2 linked regions of the Callithrix jacchus genome follow. The protein of the gene in region 2 purifies or fractionates together with the protein of the main gene of each other region. This does not show direct contact. Links are inferred from orthologs where the notes say so. Each region holds a gene or a part of one and is shown on either strand. Other genes may lie near its edges. The genes, in order: FASLG and CASP10.

The links.
Region 1: the proteins of CASP10 (region 2) and FASLG purify together in Homo sapiens (co-immunoprecipitation; 3 studies listed by BioGRID and IntAct, with this or other methods). This does not show direct contact. The link is inferred for Callithrix jacchus from reciprocal best matches to the Homo sapiens genes CASP10 and FASLG.

Annotation. Positions count from the first base shown.
Region 1 is NC_133519.1:30,102,980-30,106,010, reverse strand, and holds the end of FASLG (tumor necrosis factor ligand superfamily member 6), read left to right. Parts: intron 1-24; coding exon 25-81; intron 82-1,314; coding exon 1,315-1,709; 3' UTR 1,710-2,451; downstream 2,452-3,031. UniProt on the Homo sapiens protein: Cytokine that binds to TNFRSF6/FAS, a receptor that transduces the apoptotic signal into cells. Involved in cytotoxic T-cell-mediated apoptosis, natural killer cell-mediated apoptosis and in T-cell development.
Region 2 is NC_133507.1:122,266,817-122,271,351, reverse strand, and holds the start of CASP10 (caspase-10), read right to left. Parts: upstream 2,843-4,535; 5' UTR 2,665-2,842; intron 1-2,664. UniProt on the Homo sapiens protein: Involved in the activation cascade of caspases responsible for apoptosis execution. Recruited to both Fas- and TNFR-1 receptors in a FADD dependent manner. May participate in the granzyme B apoptotic pathways.

The sequences.
Region 1 (3,031 bases), on a different chromosome or scaffold from region 2:
AACATGTATTCCTCTATCACACAGGCCACCCTAGTCCACCCCCTGAAAGAAAGGAGCTGAGGAAAGTGGCCCATTTAACAGGTCTGTATCTGGAAGGTACAGGTGGGATTTGGGAAAGCTTTTGGCAACAGGCAGAATAGCTGCTTGGTTTCATTACTGGGCCCTAGAGAGTTGTTACTTCCTGGTGACAGTATTTGAACCCAACAATACTAACATCTTTCTTGTCAAGTCAGTCTTGCAAACATACTTTGAGCCCCTATTCTCTGGGCAAGGGCCTCTTCTAAATTGGAGACCTAGAGCTAATTATGACATGACCCCTGTACATGACCTCACTCTTTTCAGTCATTCCCAAGTCCCTTGGGGATTGGGGGCACAGATCCAAAAGGTGAGAGCTGAGAAGGTGAGGAATGAGGACTTATTTTCATCAGTGCTTTCTTGGTTTTCTGGAAGAGCTTTACTCTGTTTTGTCCAAGAGTATAAATAGGAGTGAGAAGGGAAACTCAGTCCTGGCACTTGTCAACTTTCAGCCTGTGCCTGCAAAGTGGTGTGAAATGATATGGTATGGGCACTCCCATTGTAAACTTCATAAATAACTGAGAAGTGGATAAATATCACAGAAAGTGGTAGGCTATTGTCCCTGGTATTATTTAGGCAGAAACTGTAGAATGATCCAGTCAGATCAGCAGACACTTATTGAGTACCTGCTGTGTGCCAATTTTGGGATGTGAAGATGAGTAGCACATGGCTCTTGCCCCCAGGGAGCTTGACATCTAATAGGGAAAGACAGGCACTTATGATGATTTTAGTACTGCAGAGATTTGGGTTATGTTCTTGATGCTGTGGGGATACAAAGAAAAGGAAACTGTAGCCCAAATTGAGGAGCTGAAAAATTCTTAACTGCAGGTGAGAAGATGGACCAGATGGTTCCTAAGATCCTTCCCAACTTTAAGACATTAGAGTTCCTTGGATTTGGCTTTTTCCTTCAGGAAAGGACCTCAATGCCTAGCAGTTTTGGTGTTAGTTCTGAAAATAATAAAATCTTTGTTCCAGAGAGCTAATATTTTCTAATAATTTTTTACTGCAATTGATTGGGATATATACTATTGTTCTAATTGTGTGGATGACAAAACAGGACAACAATGTTTAAGAAATTCTGTGATGGATCAAGTTCTGGCCCCTCAGCCGGTTCTATATAGGCTGTGTCATTCCGGGTAAAACATTTGTTCAAGGAAGGACCCGCGGTTTTCCCATAGAAACTTAGTTTGTTGGATGCATGACATTCCTGGCTGAAAGCTCCTTTTGAATTTATTTCAGGCAAGCCCAACTCAAGGTCCATGCCTCTGGAATGGGAAGACACCTATGGAATTGTCCTGCTTTCTGGAGTGAAGTATAAGAAGGGTGGCCTTGTGATCAATGAAACTGGGCTGTATTTTGTATATTCCAAAGTATACTTTCGGGGTCAGTCTTGCAACAACCTGCCCCTGAGTCACAAGGTCTACATGAGGAACTCTAAGTATCCCCAGGATCTGGTGATGATGGAGGGGAAGATGATGAGCTACTGCACTGCTGGGCAGATGTGGGCCCGCAGCAGCTACCTGGGTGCAGTGTTCAATCTTACCAGTGCTGATCATTTATATGTCAATGTATCTGAGCTCTCTCTGGTCAATTTTGAGGAATCTCAGACATTTTTTGGCTTATATAAGCTCTAAGAAAAGCACTTTGGGATTCTTTCCATTATGATTCTTTGTTACACACACTGAGACTGTTGTATTCAATGACGGTCTTCTTAGGCACATTTGAGGTCAAGTAAGAAGACATGAACTAAGTGGACCTTGAGACCACAAGGTTCAAAAGGTCTGTAGCTCCTCACTCACCTAACGTTTATGAGCCAGACAAATGGAGTAATAAGACTGAAGAACATCTGGGCTGCCATGTGAAGAGGCAGAAGCATGGAAAAGCAGCTGCCAGATGTTCTACATTCATCTTCAGTGCCTGAAAGTATTTGGGCACATTGAAAAGGACGCCTTTTAACTCACTTCTCAGGGTGGGCCTTGCTACCTCAAGGGTGACTGTCTTTCTGATACATGGTTGTGACATGAGTGTTTAAGGGATGGGAAAGGAGGACTAGAGGCTTGCATAATAAGCTAAAGAGGCTGAAAGAGGCCAACACTCCACTAGCAGCATCTTCACTTCTAAACACATAGCCTGAGCCATCGCTGATAGTAACAGAGAAGCAAGAGAGATATTTTGAGGACTCATTCCATTCCTAACACAGCATGTGTATTTCCAGTGCAATTGTAGGGGGTGTGTGTGTGTGTGTGTGTGTGTGTGTGTGTGTGTAACTAAAGAGAGAATGTAGAGATTGTGAAATACATATTAGGAAAATATGGGTTGCGTTTGGTGATAGAGTTTGAATGCTTCTTGACAATAAACTCTAATAGTTCTTAAAAATCATTGATTTTCAGCTACTGATGAAGTTTTCCTAGAATATAATAAATATTTATATAGATGTACATTTTTGGGAAAAGAAAATGTAATATAAAGCATATGTTAGGATACAGATAATTTTTAGCAAATATTTTACAAATATTTGAATTTTTGCATATTATTTCTTTTTTCCATGGTTTCTTTATTCATTACGATGCCAGACCACTTTAACAAAAATTTATAGGCTGGGCGCGGTGGCTCACGCCTGTAATCCCAGCACTTTGGGAGGCCGAGGCGGGTGGATCACGAGGTCAAGAGATTGAGACCGTCCCGGTCAACATGGTGAAATCCCGTCTCTACTAAAAATACAAAAAATTAGCTGGGCATGGTGGCGTGTGCCTGTAATCCCAGCTACTCAGGAGGCTGAGGCAGGAGAATTGCCAGAACCCAGCAGGTGGAGATTGCGGTGAGCCGAGATTGTGCCATTGCACTCCAGCCTGGGTAACAAGGGCGAAACTCCATCTCAAAAAAAAAAAAAAGAAAAACAAAAATTTATTGGGGTGAGAAGAACTATGAGGCAATCTTTTCACCTTTGCCAGGTCTT
Region 2 (4,535 bases):
AGGAAAAAAACAAACAAGCCCATTCAAAAGTGGGCAAAGGATATGAACAGACACTTTACGAAAGAAGACATATATGAGGCCAACAATCATATGAAAAAATGCTCATCGTCACTGGTCATCAGAGAGATGCAAATCAAAACCACATTGAGATACCATCTCACGCCAGTTAGAATGGCGATCATTAAAAAATCTGGAGACAACAGATGCTGGAGAGGATGTGGAGAAAAAGGAACACTTTTACACTGTTGGTGGGAGTGTAAATTAGTTCAACCATTGTGGAAGACAGTGTGGCGATTCCTCAAGGCCTTAGAAATAGAAATTCCATTTGATCCAGTAATCCCATTACTGGGTATATATCCAAAAGGCTATAAATTGTTCTACTATAAGGACACATGTACACGAATGTTCATTGCAGCACTGTTTACAATAGCAAAGACCTGGAATCAACCAAAATGCCCATTGATAATAGACTGGATTGGAAAAATGTGGCACATACACACCATGGAATATTATGCAGCAATCAGAAATGATGAGTTCGTGTCGTTTGTAGGGACATGGATGAATCTGGAGAACGTCATCCTCAGCAAACTGACACAAGAACAGAAAATGAAACACCGCATATTCTCACTCATAGGCGGGTGATGAAAAATGAGAACACATGGACACAGAAAGGGGAGTACTAAACACTGGGGTCTATTGGGGGGAAAAGGGGAGGGCCAGTGGGAGGGGGAGGTGGGGACGGATAGCCTGGGGAGAAATGCCAAATGTGGGTGAAGGGGAGAAGGAAAGAAAAGCACACTGCCATGTGTATTCCTATGCAACTTTCTTGCATGCTCTGCTCATGTACCCCAAAACCTAAAATCCAATAAAAAATAAAAAATAAAAAAAAAAATTTCATGGGTCGGCTGCTCTGTCTATGGAGTAGCCATTCTTTTGTTTACTTATCTAATACATTTGTTTTTACTAAAAAAAAAAAAAAAAAAAAAAATTACGTAAATAAATGTTTCCATCTGACAAGTTTATAAACTACAGTATCCTCTATACTAAACTTCATTATAATCAGAGGAGCAATGCAGTGATAACATTTTCATTGTAATATTATTTATTCTATAAGCACTTGAGGTATATAGTCATTATGCAGAACTTCGCTATTTTTAGAAACAGGAAACTACTTTCTAAAGGAAGGAACAGGCAGTGTGCAGTGGCTCACACCTATAACCCCAGCCAGGAGTTCGGGATCAGACTGGGCAACATGGTAAAACCCTGTCTCTACAATAAATACAAAAATTAGCCAGGCATGGTGGTGCACACCTGTGGTCCCAACTACTCAGGAGGCTGAGGCAGAAGGATCATTTGAGCCCTGGGGGTGGAGGGTCCAGTGAGCCATGATCATGCCACTGCACTCCACCCTGGGTGACAAAGGGAGACCCTGTCTCAAAAAACAAACAAACAAACAAACAAACAAAAAAACTGCTAGACCTCAGAAGGAAAGAATGGTTTTAGACAAGAGTTGCTCAAATCAATGTAGGAAGTTGAAAATTACATGAGTCAATGTTTCCATCTGACTAGTTTATAAACTACTGTATTCTCTGTACTAAATTTCATTATAATCAGAGGAGCACTTCATGAGGCCAAGGCAGGTGGATCACTTGAGGCCAGGAGTTTAGGACAAGCCTGGGAAACATGGTGAAACCCTGTCTCTTAAAAAATACAAAAATTAGCCAGGTGTGGTGGTGCCTGTGGTCCCAGCTATTTAGGAAGCTGAGGTGAGAGGATTGCTTGAATCTGGGAGACGGAAGTTGCAGTGAGCCAAGATTGTGCCACTGTACTCCAGCCTGGTGAAAGAACGAGACTCCGTCTCAATTAAATAAATAAATGAAGGAAAGAAGGAAGAAACACATAGCAAAAATCAAAACCTCCATAATAAGGAGTAGTTATATCGAGATGGCATAACTAGAGATAATACAAATTTTCTCCTGGGCTTTCAACTGAATTTCTCAAATTTTATTTATACATGAACATACACATTAATTTCAGTGTTAAAAGAAACAAAAAATGGTGGCTCACGCCTGTAATCCCAGCACTTTGGGAGGCCGAGGTGGGCAGATCACCTGAGGTCAGGAGTTCAAGACCAGCCTGATCAACATAGTGAAACCTCGTCGCTACTAAAAATACAAAAATTAGCGGTGCATGGCAGTGCATGCCTGTAATCCCAGCTACTTGGGAGGCTGAGGCAGGAGAATCACTTGAACCCGGGAGGTAGAGCAAAACTCTGTCTCAAAAAAAAGAAACAAAAAATGTCATTTTAAATGTGATGATCCAGGGGATCTTCCCTGCTGCTAGCCCTGAGGTCAAATGAGTGGTTTCCTGGACCTGTTTCTATTCTACCACATCTTACATTTGCCTTGTGGTTTCTTGACAATTCCAATTTCTAGTTTTAATGAGTCTGCCACACTTTGTCTCCGGGAACTAACATATTTCTGCCGGTAAAAGGCTATGTTGGAGGCTTCTGGATTTTTGAACTTTTGTTTTCCCAGGCATGGCAAAGAAATCTAAGCAGAAATAATACCATTGCTGACAAGTTTTTGCAAGTTTCTACAACATGAAGCCATGAAGCAAAGGAAAAGATCCAAGCATGAGACTCTGTGGTATTTAATTACATACCTTCAGATCAGGCTCCACCAATCCTCTGGAGGTAAACGATTCTCAGGGAAATTGCCTGAAAACAAAATTTTAAAGAAAGTAGAATCCTCTATGTGCTCCAAGGTCCAAGGAAGCTCCCAATTTCGCGGGAAGAGACTTCAAGACTTGCTGGCTGTTGAAGTGAAAACTGGATCCTACTGGGCTGGGTAGCCTGATACTGATTTCCTGCCAATGTCGTCACTGCTTATTTGGCTTTTTCCCTCCCCTTTTCCAGGCTTAAGATAACTGACAAACAGCGTCTCCTAAAGGCTAATTTACAACTTTCTCACTGTAGAGCTTGGGGTTTCCCCATGTAAAGCGAAATCTTCCTAGAAATGAACCCACGGAAGCCATGAAGTCCTCCAGGCTTTCCTTAGGATCTCCATTTTCTTGTTAAGTCAAAAAGGGAATCTATCTATAGTTGGTGGGAAAAGAATAAAAACAAAACAAAAAAAAAAGAAAAGAAAAAAATGGGAAGCATCTATTTTTCTAATCATCTCCTTCCCCAAACACTTAACTTTTCAAATAAAGTCAAGTTAACCCTTTCCTTAGTCCACATGCAAATAAACAAATAATTTTTTTTTTTTTTTGAGACTGAGTCTTGCTCTGTCACCCGGGCTGGAGTGCAATCGTGCAATCTACACTCACTGCAACCTCTGCCTCCTGGGTTCAAGCAATTCTCCTGCCTTACCCTCCCAGGTAGCTGGGATTACAGGCACACGCCACTATGCCAGGCTAATTTTTTTGTATTTTAGTAGAGATAGGGTTTCACCATGCTGGCCAGGCTGATCTCGAACTCCTGACCTCGTGATCCACCCACTACAGCCTCCCAAAGTGCTGGGATTACAGCCATGAGCCACCACACTCAGCCAATAAATAAAATTTTTAAATGATAAAAGAAAAGTGGGGATTCACTTTCAGTCTTTGTGGGAGAAATTAAGAAATAAAAAGAAAAGGGGAAAAAAAAGAAAAGTGGGGATGGTGAATTACAAGCCCATTTGGAGGTATCTGCAAGAGACTCAACCAATTAATGGTAGACAAAACTGACAGTGCATGTTCTCACAGCACATTCAAACCAGAAAAAAAGAGACTTTGAAGACATTATTTCTAATAAAACAATACTGAACACTTGCTTTTTTTTCTTTTTTTCTTTTTTTGAGATGGAGTCTTGCTCTATCACCAGACTGGGGTGTGATCTCAACTCACTGCAACCTCTGCCTCTGGGTTCAAGTGATTCTCCTGCCTCAGCCTCCTGAGCAGCTGAGACTACAGGTGCGTGCCATCACACCCAGCTAATTTTTGTATTTTTTAGTAGAGTCAGGGTTTCACCATGTTGGCCAGGATGGTCTCAATCTCTTGACCTTGTGATCTACCTGCCTCGGCCTCCCAAAGTGCTGGGATTACAGGTGTCAGCCATCGTGCCTGGCCTAATACTGCACACTTCTATTGTAACTACCATGTGCCATAGGGTATTTACAAATTTTTACTCATTTCACCATCCCAACAACACCCCAAGATAAAATACTATTACTATGACTCCTGCTCTAACATGTGAAAACTACAACACAGAAAGGTTAAGTAATTTTCCCAAGGTCACACAGTGAGCTACTGGGAGGGCCAAGATTTAAACCAGCAAGTTTGGCTCAAAGTCACTACACTATAATTAAGCTACCTCAAATGTGCAGAACTCTGGAAAGACGTACAGAGTCTTAGAAAGATGTTTTATCTCTGGGGGAAAAAGCAAGATTATGATGCTTTGATTAGCAAATGTATTAAAAAGTCCTTTCCATGTCCTAGGCATCATTCGGAGAACTTCCATGAAAGACAAGTTCTGGTCAGGCACAGTGGCTCAC